Linked DNA regions of Pelodiscus sinensis. The protein of the gene in region 1 purifies or fractionates together with the protein of each later gene. This does not show direct contact. Links are inferred from orthologs where the notes say so. Each region holds a gene or a part of one and is shown on either strand. Other genes may lie near its edges.

Region 1 (8,171 bases):
GGACACAAACCCCAGTTCTAGACTTTTTGAAATAACACTACTGTAATCTGTCTCCTACTTTCATTTCCCATGAAAATACCAATAATGCAGCATGCTGTGAGTACAATAGGGTGTACTCGGTGTTGGAGGAATTACGCAATTAAAAGGGTATTTAAGCTAAAGATGCTTTCAAAAGCAAATAACCTTCCTGATGGTGTTAATGACCGATGAATTTATTAAAACTGAAAACTTAACTCAAATTTAAACATACTCCTGTTTTGCAGATACAATAGAATTGTGCATGAGAATCAGAAAAAGACTAGAAATAAAAGGACTAGCCTGGTTTTTTTGCTCATAAAAATATGCAAAATTGAAAACCACAAATAGTAAATTAAAGTGTTGAGGAGAAATATGGGGATGGTAAGTTCCTTCCAACCATATTTTTTCCCCAGCCAGCAGAGGTGTTCTCTCATTCAACTAATCAAAACAAAAACTGTTTTAATTAAAATCTTTAAAACAATCATGAATACACCCCTTTAATATTAGAAACATATTAATGTGAAACATCAAAATACCAACATATTTTTTTTGGCTTAAGCAACCTTACTGTCTTGTTTAAATTAAGTTGCATTCCCTTCGTTGCTAGTCTTTTTAGCCTAAGAGTATCTTGAGTACCTGATCTAGTATTATGCTACTAGAGATAATGAAATATTATTGTGTTTCTAATGGATACATTTAATGTTTAATTTTGAATACGTAACTGAAATATGAAAATGTTCATATACCTAAGTCATTTTTGATAAACTGGTGTGCAATTTTTCATTTTGTCTATCATTATTTATTTTCTAAGTGTTTTGTCCAGTTACTTCTGTAGTTGAATTTATTATACATGACTGGTAAAATATAATGTCTATATTGAAAAGTAAAAATTTATACTGTACATTTAAATTTTGAGGAACAGCGGGTAAATGAGAGTAAGTTTACTTGTTAAAGTAAATAGATGTATTTTTTGTAAAAAGCACGTTCTGGTTTTGTCAGATCAAAACTTTTAACTGGTCAATAAAAAATAATTTTGTTTTAAATAACATACTTAATAGTGCTCTCTGGCTTTATTTTAACATTCACCATTATAGAAATGTCATCTACTTTACCATGTAGTCTTTCAGAAGAATGTCAAATTGATTTTTCTGTAATCCATGCTAAAAGTGTAGTTGTCACTCTTTAGCGGTGGGACCACATATAGATGGCTTGACTCTACTTCCATGATGAGACCTGATTTTTTAAATTGTATTTATTTTAAGTTCCAGTCTTTGAATATGAAATCAAGCCTCCAGTAGTCCCAGGTTCAATATCCGATTCCCTAAACAAGGGTGGTGTTGGTGCTTTCACAGTTCAAGGCAACTGCATCTGATTTTCCCCCTCTATGAATCTAGCAAAGGGTACCTGTTCTAAGATCCCAGCTAGCTCCTCAGCTTATCAGGGCTTTCTTCCTCCTGACCAGGTTATTTCCAGGCTGCACAGTTCATTGCCTGTACTGTGAATTATCCAGCAAGTCAGACTGCCTAAACAATCCTGTTTTTTTGCTTTTCTCATCTAGAACTGTAAACAGTGTATGTACCACAATTAAGTTACCACACAGCTCTTTCTAAGCAAACATGTTTATTCTTAAGGTAAAAGAATTACAGGAAAAAACCATAGGGTTTTTATTGTTTTATGTACACTAAACTTACTAGAGATCACACCCCATCTCCCAAAAGGTCTCTGGTCTTAAGTCCTTTCAACACTTTCCTGAGAAATGAGGCCCTCTGGTTGGATAGAATGTCCTGTTAGCTGGATCAGAACGATGGTCCCATATTAATTTTGGATAGAATGTCCTGTTAGCTGGATCAGAACGATGGTCCCATATTAATTTAACTCAAACTACTTACGTTCTCGCATTTTGGGGGAGGAAGGTGTCCTGGAGAGTCCAGTTTGCACAAGTAAAGGCAAGACTCTTCCAGAGAGCTAGCACTGACAGTGTTACAACAGAAATGAATTTGCCTAGCCCAACCCCACTCCACCCTTCAACACCTCTTAATTCCTGGAGGACAGTGATCTCCCATCCTACATTGAATTGCATATGTTCCTTAGGCTACCACTGATGCATAAAATTAATGTTTATCCAGAGTATCACAGGAAACTCCCCAATCTATTATAGGTACATTTGGTTATCCTGTCTATAACTACTATACCGCAAACAGACCTGATCCAACCCAGGAATGAAAATGTAAGATCCCAATGTCCAGCATTCCACTGCTGTCCCCCAAAAGCTTGTGTAACCTAAGGGCAATGTGCTATGCCTCCCTATAAGGCAGGGCTACTCAACTTTGGAAGCCCTGAAGCCACAATGATACAGTGCATGCTGAGGGCTGCAACTTAAGTGTGGTTGCATATACATGCAAATAGCTTTTCACACTGATGGGCATGAATACAAAGATTGTTTTAAGCCGTAGCGCCGGACACAAACGTGGCCAGTTTGAGCCAGTCTGCACCTCTCAGGCTCTGCCCACAAGGCTGAGCGGCTAACCCTTCCCACAATGCCCTGGCACTCCCACACCACCTTCGGGGGTGGGGGGGAGTGAGGAGGAAGGGAGCTAGAAATGCTGATGCCCTGTACCCATCTGTTTCAGCCAGCCCATCCATCTGCATCTTTCAATGCTCACACCTCCTGGGAGATACCTTGCCCTTGTGGAAGTCGTTCCCAGTGTAGGCCATGTTCAAAGGATCCCACCTGCGGGCTGTATGCTGTGCATAAACCCAAACCCCACCATGGGCCGCAAATGAATGGGCTGTGGGCCACATGTTGAATAGCCGTGGTGAAAGGGGTGGTCTACATGAAGGATACCAGTATGCTTCATCTCCCTGCCCACAAATACCAGTATCACCACGAGTGCTGAAGTGGAATAGGTCTCTGCTGTGCACTGAAATATAACTGTCATGGGGTGGGAAAATATACATAGAACCAGGGCTTGCCAAGCTGCGGTGAGCCCTGCTCGCCAGCCACGCTGTCCGGCATTCTGTGCATGTGCAGATCACCCAGACCCAGCTCTTCCAGGTTGTAATCATCTTGCCACGGGCAAGTAGATCACATAGATTGTCGAGCCCTGCATATAATTCTAGTTTAAGAGCCCTGAAGCACTTGTTACACTATTTTGCAATGTGAAATCATTGTTTGGATGTGCTAATACAGTGTTTCTCAACCTTCTTTTTATAAAGTACCCCCTTTAAAAAAAAAAAAATTAGAAGTACCCCCCGTACCGACAGTTTTCAGACGCAATGGTAGAAAAAAGTGACTTTTTTAAACAACTTAATTGTAGCTGGGTGAGCAATGAAATTTTTGGCTGTAAAAATTACAAAAATAACAGCACTGTAAAACTTAAAACAAAAATTCAGTTCTCTAGATGTTATTGTTGAAGTACCCCCAGACGTCTCTCAAGTACCCCTAAGGGTACTCATACCACTGGTTGAGAAACACTGTGCTAATAAACTTTGCTATATTTTTACAAATGTTTAGTTTAGCAAAATGCATAGAAGACTTTCCCTCTTTACCCAAACAGAAGATTTCTTGCTGTTCAAGTGCCAAAAAAGACAGAATGTTAAGTTTATTTAACTTGCTTTTGTAGAAAACAATTGTCATTTTTCAAGGTGTAACTTTGCCTCTATCAGGTTGGGTATCTCAGAGCATTACTATTTGAGCTATAAAGCTGTGCCTCTCAACCTCTCCAGACTACTGTAACCCTTTGAGGAGTCTGATCTGTCTTGCTTACTCCCAAGTTACACATCACTTAAAAACTTCTTACAAAATCAGTCATAATTTAAAAGTGTCATAGCATACTATTGCTGAAAAATTGCTTAATATAAAATAGTATTGTCCCTATTTTACAAAGAGGTAGAGGGGTACAGCACCAAATCTCAACTTTATTTCTGGAATGCCAGTTCAGTTTCCAAAATTTTGTTAAGCTCCCTTATCACAGCATGTAGCTAATTAATTACCACACAATATGTGGCTTTATCTGATACACACCCCATCCAGTGCAATAGATTTTCTTCTCCGCATTCTTACATAAAACAATCTGCCCCTTTGCCAAGACACACTATAAAATCCTGGGGTAGCCAGGCATCTGTGGCCCCACAAAGTTGAGACACCTTGTCGACCTCCTCCTGGCCCTAGTGAAAGCTGACATGTACCACACCAGGAGAAGGATGCTGAACAAAGGGGTGTTCTGTGACTGTGGGGCCTATTTCTGCTTCTTCCTACACTCACATCGGGGCAGAGTTCTTCTGGGCAGTGTCCAGTTGCTCCCTGGATAGCTTCAAGGAGCAGTGGGTGCTGTCTAAGGTTCTCTGCTTGGTGTCTCCATCTGGCTCCGTTGTTTTGAACCTATGACCTGCACTCCTGATCCCTTTATTCATTGTTTGTCCCCCATAATCAATGGAATCCTGGGTCCAGTGGACCTTCCTGCAAGGCTCGGAGAGGGGCTTTTAGAAGTGAACTGGGCTTGTGCCTGCCCACGTCCTTGGATTCAAATAGTGACTCAGAAGAGGGAATGGCTGCTGCTCTGCCTATTTATACCCCCCTTCTGTTCTTGTCACCACCAGTTGGAGCTCTCCCTGCCTTCCCCTTCCCTAACACAAAGTGGATGCTGGGCTCTGGTCAGGACTGTTGACTATGCTGTTAAAAGACTAGTCAGTAGCAAGATGGGGCTAAGGTGGGCTGAAGCTACTGGTATGTTTCAGCTTTCCCCTGGCATATGTGGGGCTGGGAGGCAAGGAAGCTGTGTGCCCCGTCTCCCTGAGTACTGGCTCTGCAGCTGCCATTGGCTGGGAATCACCACTATGGGAGTTCCAGGCAGCAACCTTAGATAAGTGCCCCCTGCAACCCACCAGCATCGCAGCCCCACTAGGCTGGGAGGGGGGTGGAATGGGGGGCGGGGCAAAGGGAACAGAGCGTGCTATTAGAGAGTTGCCATGGCAACCCTACAGCCCTACCCAGCCCTGGCTGTGGGCTCCGCGGGCGCTGCCCAGCAGGTGGCGCTGCATCCTTGCAAGTCCCCCCCCCCCCCGGGAAGTGTCAGCGCGCGCATGCGTGGTTCGTGCGGGCGAGCCGTGGTGCGCGGGAAAGAGGAACCCGGCCGGCGGCACCCGCCTCCTTTGCCCCGCGCGCGCCTGCCTCAGGTAACCGGCAACCGAAGGCTCGGGGCGGGGAGGGGGGAGCGCCGGGGGCGGTGACCCCGCTGTAACCGCGGTGCGCCCCCCAGTATTGGAGGGTGATGGGGGGGTGACGCTGGGGACGCGGCGCTGGGCTTTGGTGAGAAGCAGCTACAGGGTCGCTGCGGCTTCCTCCCCCCTGCCCCAGGGGCGCGCTGCTGCCGGGCCGGTGTTTTCTGGGGGGCGGGGGCGCTGGAGCATTTTGAAAGGGGGGGGGGTTGGTTTGCGGGTGTATCCGCTCCGCCCCCCTCTGCCTGTGTCGCTCCGGGGGGATTCGCCCTTTTAACCGCGGGTTTGTGCGTGTGACGCTCCTGCGCCCTGTCGGCAGCGCGGTGGCGATGTGCAGAGCCGGAAGAGAGCCGCTGGGTCAGCGAACATTGCTCCCTTGTTGCTGAGGCCTCTCTTGTTCAAACGCTTCCGAGGGGTAGCCAGGCTGGAACAGCAACAACTGAAAAAGCAACAGATAGGCTGGTAGCACTTTATAGACTAACAAAACATGGAGATGGGATCGTGAGCTTTCGTGGGCACAGCCCACTTCTTCAGATGGCCACAATGCTGGCCATCCACGACAGTCGCTCTCTGAGTTACGCCCACCTCCACTTTTACGACCATCCGCACTTAGGACCAAAGCAGTCGGAAATGCGGATCCGAGTTCCGAACGGCGATCCATGCTTACGAACAGCGCCGTCGCCATGTAACACTATGGGATCCAAGTTGTGAACACTTCGAGTTACGGACCAAGTGTTGGTGCGTAACTTGTTCATAACTCGGGGAGCGGCTGTACTCCGCTCATCTGAAGAAGTGGGCTGTGCCCACGAAAGCTCATGATACCATCTACATGTTTTGTTAGTCTATAAAGTGCTACCAGACTATTTTTTTAGCATCTTTTGTGTGACTAGTAAGCAGCTCTTCTCTTTTCTTAGGAGGAAGAATTTCTGTTCTGATCCATCTCAAGTCCCACTTTTCCTAGGTTCATCTCTCTTCCCTCTCCAGCATGCTAAATCTTTTCTCTTCATTTTACCTTAACTTTCATGGTCCATGAGGTCTGCTGCACTGAACAGTGAATTCCTCTTTTACCCATCTCTCCCTGCTTGCTGTGTTTCTAGCATTATTCTTGCTGCACTTGCTGACTCAAAAACCAGCCTATGCAATTATTTTTGCTGCAGTCAAAGCAGGCAGTGGAGGGATCAGAGCAACATGAAGAATGCAACCACTTTGAGATCTGGGGATCGGAAAACATTTATGTCCAAAGAAATGTACCTAAACACTGCTCCAGCACAACTCTGTCATCATAATAAGATTTCCAGTCATGGAGTTGAGAGCTATGGCTTATTCTCTGAAAAGGTTATTGCTCTTGCAGAAAATGTCAGTTATCATAAACTAGGGGTGAGCAATAATTTTTGATGTGGTGGGGCCACTCCAAAATGTTGGTAAGTGGTCAAGGGCCACACTTTTCTATGGAGGGGATGGGAGGTCTGAGATGGAGGATGGGTGCAGAATGGAGCTTGAGGTAGAGAATTTGGGTGCAGGAGAGGTTATTAGGGGGTGTTTGGGTGAAGGACAGGGTTCACAGTGCACAGAGCTTCCCCCTTCCTCCTGACCACAGAGAGGCTGTGTCTAAACTGCAGGGTTTTTTCGAAAAAAAGTAGCCTTTTTTCGAAAAAAACTTCACCTGCATCTAGACTACAGCCTCGTTCTTTCAAAATTACATTGAAAGAACACGGCTTTTCTTTCAATGGTGGCACTCCTCATTTCACGAGGAATAACGCCTTTTTTCAAAAGTGCTCTTGCAAAAAAAGGCGCTGTGTAATGCAAACTGTGCTTTTTCGAAAGAGAGCATCCAGACTGATTGTAGTCTAGATGCTCTTTTTTGAAAGAAACTTGCAGTCTAGACATAGCCAGAGAGAGATGGAACAGCTAGCCCTCTGAGCTCTGGGGCTGCTCCCTGCCTGTGGATCGAGTGGGACATGCCACAGGGCAGACTGAGACACTGGGCCCCTTGCTTTCACATCTGTCCAAGTGGGTTGTGCCCACGAAAGCTCATGATATTTATATATTTTGTTAGTCTCTAAGGTGCTACAGGACCAATGTTGTTGTTTTTTTCCCTTTTTTTTAGTTACAGACTAATACTGCTACCCCTCCGAGACTTTTAGTAATCTTTTGTAATTTACTGTAATGTTTTTCTTAAAATTTCTCTGTTTGTTATTAACTTTGACTATAATTCTTGTAAAAATAAATGCAAAATATCTGATATCTGCCATGTTTTCCTTTAAAAAGAATGAAGGTCATCACTTGTGAAATAGCATGGCACAACAAAGAGCCGGTGTATAGCTTAGACTTCCAACATGGAACTGAAGGGAAAATCAATCGACTGGCCTCAGCAGGAGTAGACACTGCTGTTCGTGTGAGTTCCAAATTTCGCTGATTTTAGTGTGAGCAGAATATCTAACAAGACATTTAATTTTACTTAAAAATCTCACATTCTTCCAGTTTCCTACTGCCCCACAAGTGAGTGACTCAGATAAAAGGTTATGAGAAAGTGGGCCATGAGTTTTGTCAACTTGAGTTTAATTTTCTGAATAATAATGCTTCTTAATTTCATCAAGTTTGGGTAAGATTTTTGAAATATCTGCATTCCTTCTGCCTCCTTGCAAAATATATAAATAACGGAACTGAAGAAAATGGTGCACAAGATTAAAAATTAATCAATTTTCAGGTATATAGCAGGCAATTTACTATATGTAATTCTTTTATAACTAGATATGGAAAGTGGAAAAAGGACCAGATGGGAAAGCAATTGTGGAATTCTTATCAAATCTAGCTCGCCATACGAAAGCAGTGAATGTTGTGCGTTTCTCTCCCAATGGTGAGGTTTTAGCATCAGGAGGAGACGGTGAGTAACAAAAAACAATATAAAAAAGATAGATGAAAGTCATGTAAAAAGA
Region 2 (7,579 bases), on another chromosome or scaffold:
CACTCTGCACATGGTTCCCTCCCCTATCCAATGCCCCCCTCCCCTCCTCTGCACATGGTTCTTCCTTCTCCCCCCCCTCCCACGGTTCCCGCCCCCCTCCTACCCAATGCCCCTCTCCCCCCACTCTGGCCATGGCTGCCTCCCCCCTACCCCAGCGCCCCCCGCTCCGGAGACCGCCCCTGCCCCGGCTCCTCACCGCTTCCCGCAGGACAGGCGTCTGCAGCCGGCGCGGCCCCTTTAAGAGGTGAAGGGCTGGGCCCGGCCCCTTATAGCCACGCTCAGGGGCTCCTTCCGGTGCGGTCCCGGGGCAGGCTGGGAGTTGTAGTTCTAGCCCCTCCGCTCCCCCCCCCCCCACACACGCCCTCTACCCCGAGGGGGATGCAGATGCAAACAAGCCCGAGGCCAAGCTGAGAGCAGAGCGAAGAGGGGGCCAGCGGGAGGAAGGGGGAGGAGGATGAGGAGGGAGGGAGCTGGAGAAGAGGGGTGCATGGGTGTGCAGGGTGGTCCCCACCCTGAGGATGCAGACTCTGACAGATGCCCATGTTGATGGATGTCTTTGAGTCCCCCCCTGTAAAACCAGCCTCCCCAGGGGACAAGGTGGGCGAGAGGAAAACTTTTTGTTGGACCAAGGGCAGCCGGGGAGAGAGACAAGCCCCGAGTTTGGGGAAAGGTGAGGAGGGCACATCGGCATGTGAACCACTGGCGCGCTTAGCCCACGACCTCACGCTACGGCCTGCCGTCGGCAGAGCGTCTGCCGCGCACAGGGCCGGCCCGTAACATTTTGGTACCTGAGGCGGGGAGCTCAAGTGACGCCCCTGTGCCCCTTCTCCTGCCTGACCGTTACGTCTCTTGTGCCCGCCTTCCTCCTGCACAGCGCTCCTCCAGCTCTGTGCATCGAGAGCAGAGAGGATACAGATGCACCAGCAGCAGACACAATTTTCTACACTCTAGTGCCCCCCCCCCCAGTCTGGCCCCTGAGGTGGCCGCCTCAGTTCGCCTCATGGGAAGGCCAGCCCTGGCCGCACAGGAACAGGAACTTCGCACCGCGCTGCGCAACGTGAGTTACTCCAACGTAAGCGCCTGCGTGCCCGGCGCCGTGTCAGCCGGAGAGCTTTAACCAACGTAGCTTGTGCCGCTCATGGAGGCGGTTTTATTTATACCAGCCAAGAGAGCTCTCTCCGGTCAGTATACTTAATCCACCTCCTCCAAAGGCAATAGCTGTGCCAACCCCAGTGTACACATGGGGGTACAGTCAGGAGAGGAAATTTGAGCAACACCTTCAAAAGACAAGCCTGAAAACTAACATTCATGATTCTGCTAGATCCTCAAAATTATGGGCTGAGTAGAAACACTGGATTTATTCCTTATTATGACACTTAAACGCTGCTCCACGTTTTTTCCTTCCTTCCCCACCCCCCTTGTCCCCAGGCGTTAACAAAGGGCACTTCACTTTGAATGAGCCCTTAAGTGTGGTAGCTACTGATGTTAATCCATCTGCTCCACCTTGTACCCTGAATACATTTTCCAGACCTGAAGAAGAGCTATGTGGAGTTTGACAGCTTGTCTCTTTCACCAACAAAAGTTGGTCCAGTAAAAGATGTTGCATCCCCAGCCTTATCTCTTTAATATCCTAGAACTAATAGACAGCAGAGCTGCCCTTCCTCCTTCCCCCCCCCCCCCCCCCCCCCCCCCCCCCCGACAACCCTCTCTTGTTTCATCAAGGCCTTTGTGGAGGCCTTTAAGAAGTGTTGCCAACTCCCACGCTTTTGTCATCCTTCTCAGGACATTCCATGTTTTTCTGGAGTCAAATTATTCGTGGGAATCTCAGCTTTCATTGGAAACAAAAGTACGTTCCTAGCCCGCTGCAGAGAAAAGCTTGAAAATGTGACCTGCGTAAACCCAAAGGCTCAGAAAAGAAAACTACAGGGCTGAAGGTGAGAAGAACAAAAAGGAGCTCCCTCCCCCTCTTTCCCTTGACTTGGGTGAGCAGTCCTTCCTCCTCTCCTACGGGATTGATCCCATGACCACTTCCTGTCCTGGGTCAGCTTGCGTAACCAGTGCCCAGCAAAACAGCATTCCAGGGAGCCCAAGTGGAAAGTGTTGAAGGTGGGATGTTCCAGGAACACAGGCCTGGTAACAGCAGCCTCTAGTGACTCAGTATCCCTGCCACCTGACAGTACTAACCCTTTGGTAACCCTGACCCATTTTCCTTGGCTGTGTAATGGAAATACAGATGAGTCCCATACATGCAGGACTTTCTGCACATGCATAGTGGCATCACGACCCATCTTTACACTGTGGCTGCCCCTAATCCCAGACCTACCTGGTTGGTGGTGGCTAGTGTCACGCAGCACAAACCACACATAAGCTGGCTGTGTCTAGACTGGCCAGTTTTTCCAGAAAATCAGCTGCTTTTCCGGAAAAACTTGCCAGCTGTCTACACTGGCCGCTTGAATTTCCGCAAAAGCACTGACAATCTCATGTAAGATTGTTGGTGTTCTTGCGGAAATACTATGCTGCTCCCGTTCGGGCAAAAGTCCTTTTGCGCAAAACTTTTGCACAAAAGGGCCAGTGTAGACAGCTCAGATTTGTTTTCCGCAAAAAAGCCCTGATGGCGAAAATGGCGATTGGGGCTTTTTTGTGGAAAAGTGCATCTAGATTGGCACAGACACTTTTCCGTGCCAATCTAGATGCTCTTTTCCGAAAATGCTTTTAACGGGGGTGGTGTTGTTCTTTCGTGTTCTATAGCAGTATTGCCCACCTCAAGCTTTCCAACATCAGGCCTTTAAAAATCATGTGATTAGCTTTAAAACCAAATTTTTAAAAAAAGAATAAGCGCTGTGGTATTTTTGTTTGCTTTCTGGTTTACAAGTCTTTGGGGGCTTTTTAGCATAAAGAAGGTTTATTGAGCATTTTTATTTCCCTGTTTCATAACACATGAAGATGGTGGTAAAACCAACAAAAGGAAATACTTCTTCATCCACGGTGTGATAAAAACGTGAAACTCGTTACCACCGGAAGAAATTGAGGCCAAGAAATTAACAAACAACAGATTGCACCTCTAGTCCAGAGCTCTCAAGACCTGACTGGTGCCAAACCAGAGAATTTGCTGAACCAGGAGAGGTCAGTATTAACTAGCAGCATTACTAACACTGCCACTGCTTACTGGGCTCTTAGAAGACTAAATAACAGCCCAGAGCACTGAGAGCCAGGTCGGGTGGCTGTAAACAAACTTTATGGCACCGCGGGAACTTGGCCACACCCACTGTAAGTTGCCATCCGGCTGCCTAAAATCACGTCGGATCATGGATGGTGCCAGACCAGAGTGCCAGACTTGAGAGGTTCAACCTGTATTAAAAAGAACAAAAAACAGGACCATGTAGCACTTTAAAGACTAACAAGATGGTTTATTAGGTGATGAGCTTTCGTGGGCCAGACCCACTTCCTCAGATCAAATAGTGGAAGAAAATTGGCACAACCATATATACCAAAGGATACAGTTAAAAAATGAACACATATGAAAAGGACAAATCAAATTTCAGAACAGAAAGGGGATGGTAAATGTCTGTGAGCTAATGATATTAGAGGTGATAATTGGGGAAGCTATCTTTGTAATGGGTAAGATAATTAATGTCTTTGTTTAAACCTAAGTGTAAAGTGTCGAATTTAAGCATGAATGACAGTTCAGAGGATTCTCTTTGAAGTGTGGTCTGAAAAGGCCTTTGAAGCAGGATGCAGGTAATCAAGTCATTGAGACAGTGTCCTTTCTGGTTGAAATGGCAAGAAACTGTTTTTCTTTGTGATCCTGTCTAATATCTGTTTTGTGGGCCTTGATCCTTTGGCAAAGACATTTTTTGTAACTGTATTAAAGGGATTGGATATTTAAATAGGTATCAAGGCTATGCAGTGCCATACATAATCCCCACACACGTTTGAAGGGATATTAACCCTTATACTTCAGCCTAATCAGGCTCTTAACTGCTGGAGATCAGGGTGAGACCTGCAGGAGGGAACTCGTCCCCTAGGTGCGGGCTGGATGATTCTCTCGCCTTTCTCTGGCGCATCCTGGGCTGGCCACTGTGGGCTCAGTGGGGTCTGCGCCGCTCTGCAGAGGCCAGTGCTCCTAGGGGCGGCAGTTCCCTTTTCACTGGAGTCCCCTGCCTCCGGGAGCTGGAGCTTTCCGCCGCGCTCAGCCGGGGGCTTGCTGAACTCATGGACAGGGGGAGCGGTGGCAGCCCTGCAGCCAGCCTGGGCGGAGGGGGGAGCCTGTGGCTCCCTGGGGCCACGCACGTGGGCTGGGCTTGGTTGGGCTCCCCCCTCCAGCTCTCCCGGACTACAACACCCAGCAGGCAGCGCGGCGAAAGGGCGGGCGCCGCTAGGCCTGCTGGGAGCCGTCGTCCAACGGCGGGACTCCATGGCCCAGCGTGCCGCGGGCGGGGCGGGGGTCGCCGCGCAGGCGCAGTGCGCTCGGCGGGTACAGGGGGTTGCTGGGCTCTTTTGTTTGGCGGAGGCGGATCGCGAGCGGCCAGGCCTGTGGCGCCCCCGGCAACGGACCCGGCCCCCCCGCCCCCGCCTCAGCTCGGCCCGGCCCCGCGCGCAGCCCCGCTCCGCCCCGGCACCGTTGGCGAGGCTGTGAAAAGTGAGCGGGGGGGCGGGGCGCTGGGGGGGGAGGGGGGAGCTGCAGGGGGGCGCGGGGGGGGAGGGGGGAGCTGCAGGGGGGCGCTGGGACGGGAGGGGGGAGGGGGGAGCTGCAGGGGGGCGCTGGGACGGGAGGGGGAGGGGGAGCTGCAGGGGGGGCGCTGGGACGGGAGGGGGGAGAGGGAGCTGCAGGGGGGCGCTGGGACGGGAGGGGGGAGGGGGAGCTGCAGGGGGGCGCTGGGACGGGAGGGGGAGGGGGAGCTTCAGGGGGGCGCTGGGACGGGAGGGGGGAGGGGGAGCTGCAGGGGGGCGCTGGGACGGGAGGGGGGAGGGGAGCTGCAGGGGGGCGCTGGGACGGGAGGGGGAGAGGGAGCTGCAGGGGGGCGCTGGGACGGGAGGGGGGAGGGGGGAGCTGCAGGGGGGCGCTGGGACGGGAGGGGGGAGGGGGGAGCTGCAGGGGGCGCTGGGACGGGGAGGGGGAGCTGCAGGGGGGCGCTGGAACGGGAGGGGGGGAGGGGGAGCTGCAGGGGGGGCTGGGACGGGAGGGGGAGGGGGGAGCTGCAGGGGGGCGCTGGGACGGGAGGGGGAGGGGGAGCTGCAGGGGGGCGCTGGGACGGGAGGGGGGGAGGGGGAGCTGCAGGGGGGCGCTGGAACGGGAGGGGGGGAGGGGGAGCTGCAGGGGGGGCTGGGACGGGAGGGGGAGGGGGGAGCTGCAGGGGGGCGCTGGGACGGGAGGGGGAGGGGGAGCTGCAGAGGGGCGCTGGGACGGGAGGGGGGAGCTGCAGGGGGGCGCTGGGACGGGAGGGGGGAGGGGGAGCTGCAGGGGGGCGCTGGGACGGAGGGGGGAGGGAGGAGGGGCTGCAGGGGGGCGCTGGGAGGGGGAGGGGGGAGCTGCAGGGGGGCGCTGGGACGGGAGGGGGAGCTGCAGGGGGGCGCTGGGAGGGGGAGGGGGGACAGGAGGGGGGAGCTGCAGGGGGCGCTGGACGGGAGGGGGAGGGGGGAGCTGCAGGGGGGCGCTGGGACGGGAGGGGGAGGGGGGAGCTGCAGGGGGGCGCTGGGACGGGAGGGGGGGAGCGGGAGCTGCAGGGGGGTGCTGGGGGGGGGCGCTGGGACGGGAGGGGGGCTGCAAGGGGGCTCCGGGAGGGGGAGGGGGAGCTGCAGGGGGGCGCTGGGATGGGAGGGGGAGGGGGAGCTGCAGGGGGGGCGCTGGGAGGGGGAGGGGGGAGCTGCAGGGGGGCGCCAAGACGGGAGGGGGAGCTGCAGGGGGGCGCTGGGATGGGAGGGGAAGCTGTAGGGCTAAATTGTACAACTAGGATTAGGTGGGGTCTGGAATGGGGGGGCTGCATTTTGGGAGGGGAGGGTTTGCTGCAAACAGTGCTCTTGGGGCTGGGATTTGGGGGAGGGAAGCTGGCATTGGGAGAGGGAGCTCGATTGTGGGGGGCAATGGGGAAGCTGGGACTTGGTGGGGAAGGGGAGAGATGCATGGAAACTTTGTAGAGCAGGGATTGGAAGGGGGCGTGGGGCTCGAGAGAGGGACCCAGGAGAGCTGGGTGCAGAGGGGAGCTACATCTTTGGCAAGGGGAGGTTGAAGGGGGTGGGTGGCCGGGTGGCCGCGCCAGGAGCCATGGGGAGTGGGGATGTGTACACGGGAGAGGAGCGTCACAGAAGGGGGAACGCAGCGGGTACCTGGGGGGTAGCTCCGTGGCTGTGAAGCTGCAGGTGAGGTTCCGAGGAGCAGTTGTTGTTCCCAGGTGGTCCTAGGCAATGAGGGGAGCTAGCCCAAGGGCTGTCTCGTGGGGATGTGGATATGGAACTTTCAGAGGGGGCAGAACAGACTCTAGTGGGACTGGGGCTTGGGGAAGGGACACTTGGAAATGAAGCTGCACTAAAGAGACAGGATGGGGCACATGGAGCTGTGCTCTGAATGGGAACCATGGGGCATGTAGAGAAGAAGCTGCCTCCGTGGAGGGAACCGGGGTGAAGCTGCACTCTGGGACATGTGGCCCCCAGTTCAGCTGCAGACTGCCCAGGTTGGGGTGACAGTAAACCTGAAGAAGGGGAGAGAATGAAGCTATGGAATGAATGAAGCTGCGCCAGGCGTATTGGGGGTAGTTGATGGCTTGCTGGAGTGTGCCTGATGGAGAGAGGTATGGGGTACAGCTGCGCCAGGAGGTCCTAGGGAGGCACTGAGCTTTCGTGGGCACAACCCACTTCTTCAGATGAATGAAGTTAAGGGGTCCAGTTTACAAATAAAAGGCAGGGAAAGAAAGGGGATGGGGGGAGATGCCCCCGAAAGCTCATGATCCCCTCTACATTTTTTGTTAATCTGTAAGGTGCTGCAAGACTATTTGTTGTTTAAGTTTTTTCAGTTACAGACTAACAGGGCTACCCCCTCTGAAACCCAAAGATCCTGTGTGTGGGGAAAGTGGGAGGAGAGGTGGGCTGAGAGGTGGGCTAGGGGGATGGCAGAGACTGGAGTGGATCTGAAAACTAGAGCGTGATGAAGCTGTAGTTGGGGAGGTGAGAGCTACGCTGAGGGCCTTGGGATGCTGGAATTGTGCTGGCAGTGTTGGGGCTAATGGAGTTGCAGAGGCGAGGTGTGTGTCCTGTGACTACAAAGTAAAGTGGGTACGATAATGGGACTGTTATGATGTTTAGGTTCTAAATGCAGGTTTTGTTAAGGGCTTTTAAACCATTTTAATTAACTAAGATTCTATGAATCTTGGGCTTTCTTACACAGGTAATTTGTTTGGATTAAACAGCTCCCGCCAGGTTTGCAATTCAAACGTCACAGCTTTGTCTTAATTCTGGAGAGCAGGGCAGTGAAACTGGCTAGAAATAGACAAGACAGGCTGGTATTTCACTGTCCTCTCAAATTGAAATACAAGAATAACTAGCCGAGATGGCAAGTGAATAAAGGCAGGAACCAGTCCTAGATGTT

Evidence for each region. The genes of interacting proteins can lie anywhere in the genome.
Region 2: the proteins of CHAF1B (region 1) and CBX1 purify together in Homo sapiens (affinity purification with mass spectrometry; 4 studies listed by BioGRID and IntAct, with this or other methods). This does not show direct contact. The link is inferred for Pelodiscus sinensis from reciprocal best matches to the Homo sapiens genes CHAF1B and CBX1.

The regions. Positions count from the first base shown.
Region 1 is NC_134711.1:185,728,960-185,737,130, forward strand, and holds the start of CHAF1B (chromatin assembly factor 1 subunit B), read left to right. Parts: upstream 1-5,051; 5' UTR 5,052-5,193; intron 5,194-5,233; exon of another isoform or gene 5,234-5,326; intron 5,327-7,503; 5' UTR 7,504-7,504; coding exon 7,505-7,630; intron 7,631-7,986; coding exon 7,987-8,119; intron 8,120-8,171. UniProt on the Homo sapiens protein: Acts as a component of the histone chaperone complex chromatin assembly factor 1 (CAF-1), which assembles histone octamers onto DNA during replication and repair.
Region 2 is NC_134739.1:13,775,137-13,782,715, reverse strand, and holds the start of CBX1 (chromobox protein homolog 1), read left to right. Parts: upstream 1-4,474; 5' UTR 4,475-4,639; intron 4,640-7,579. UniProt on the Homo sapiens protein: Component of heterochromatin. Recognizes and binds histone H3 tails methylated at 'Lys-9', leading to epigenetic repression. Interaction with lamin B receptor (LBR) can contribute to the association of the heterochromatin with the inner nuclear membrane.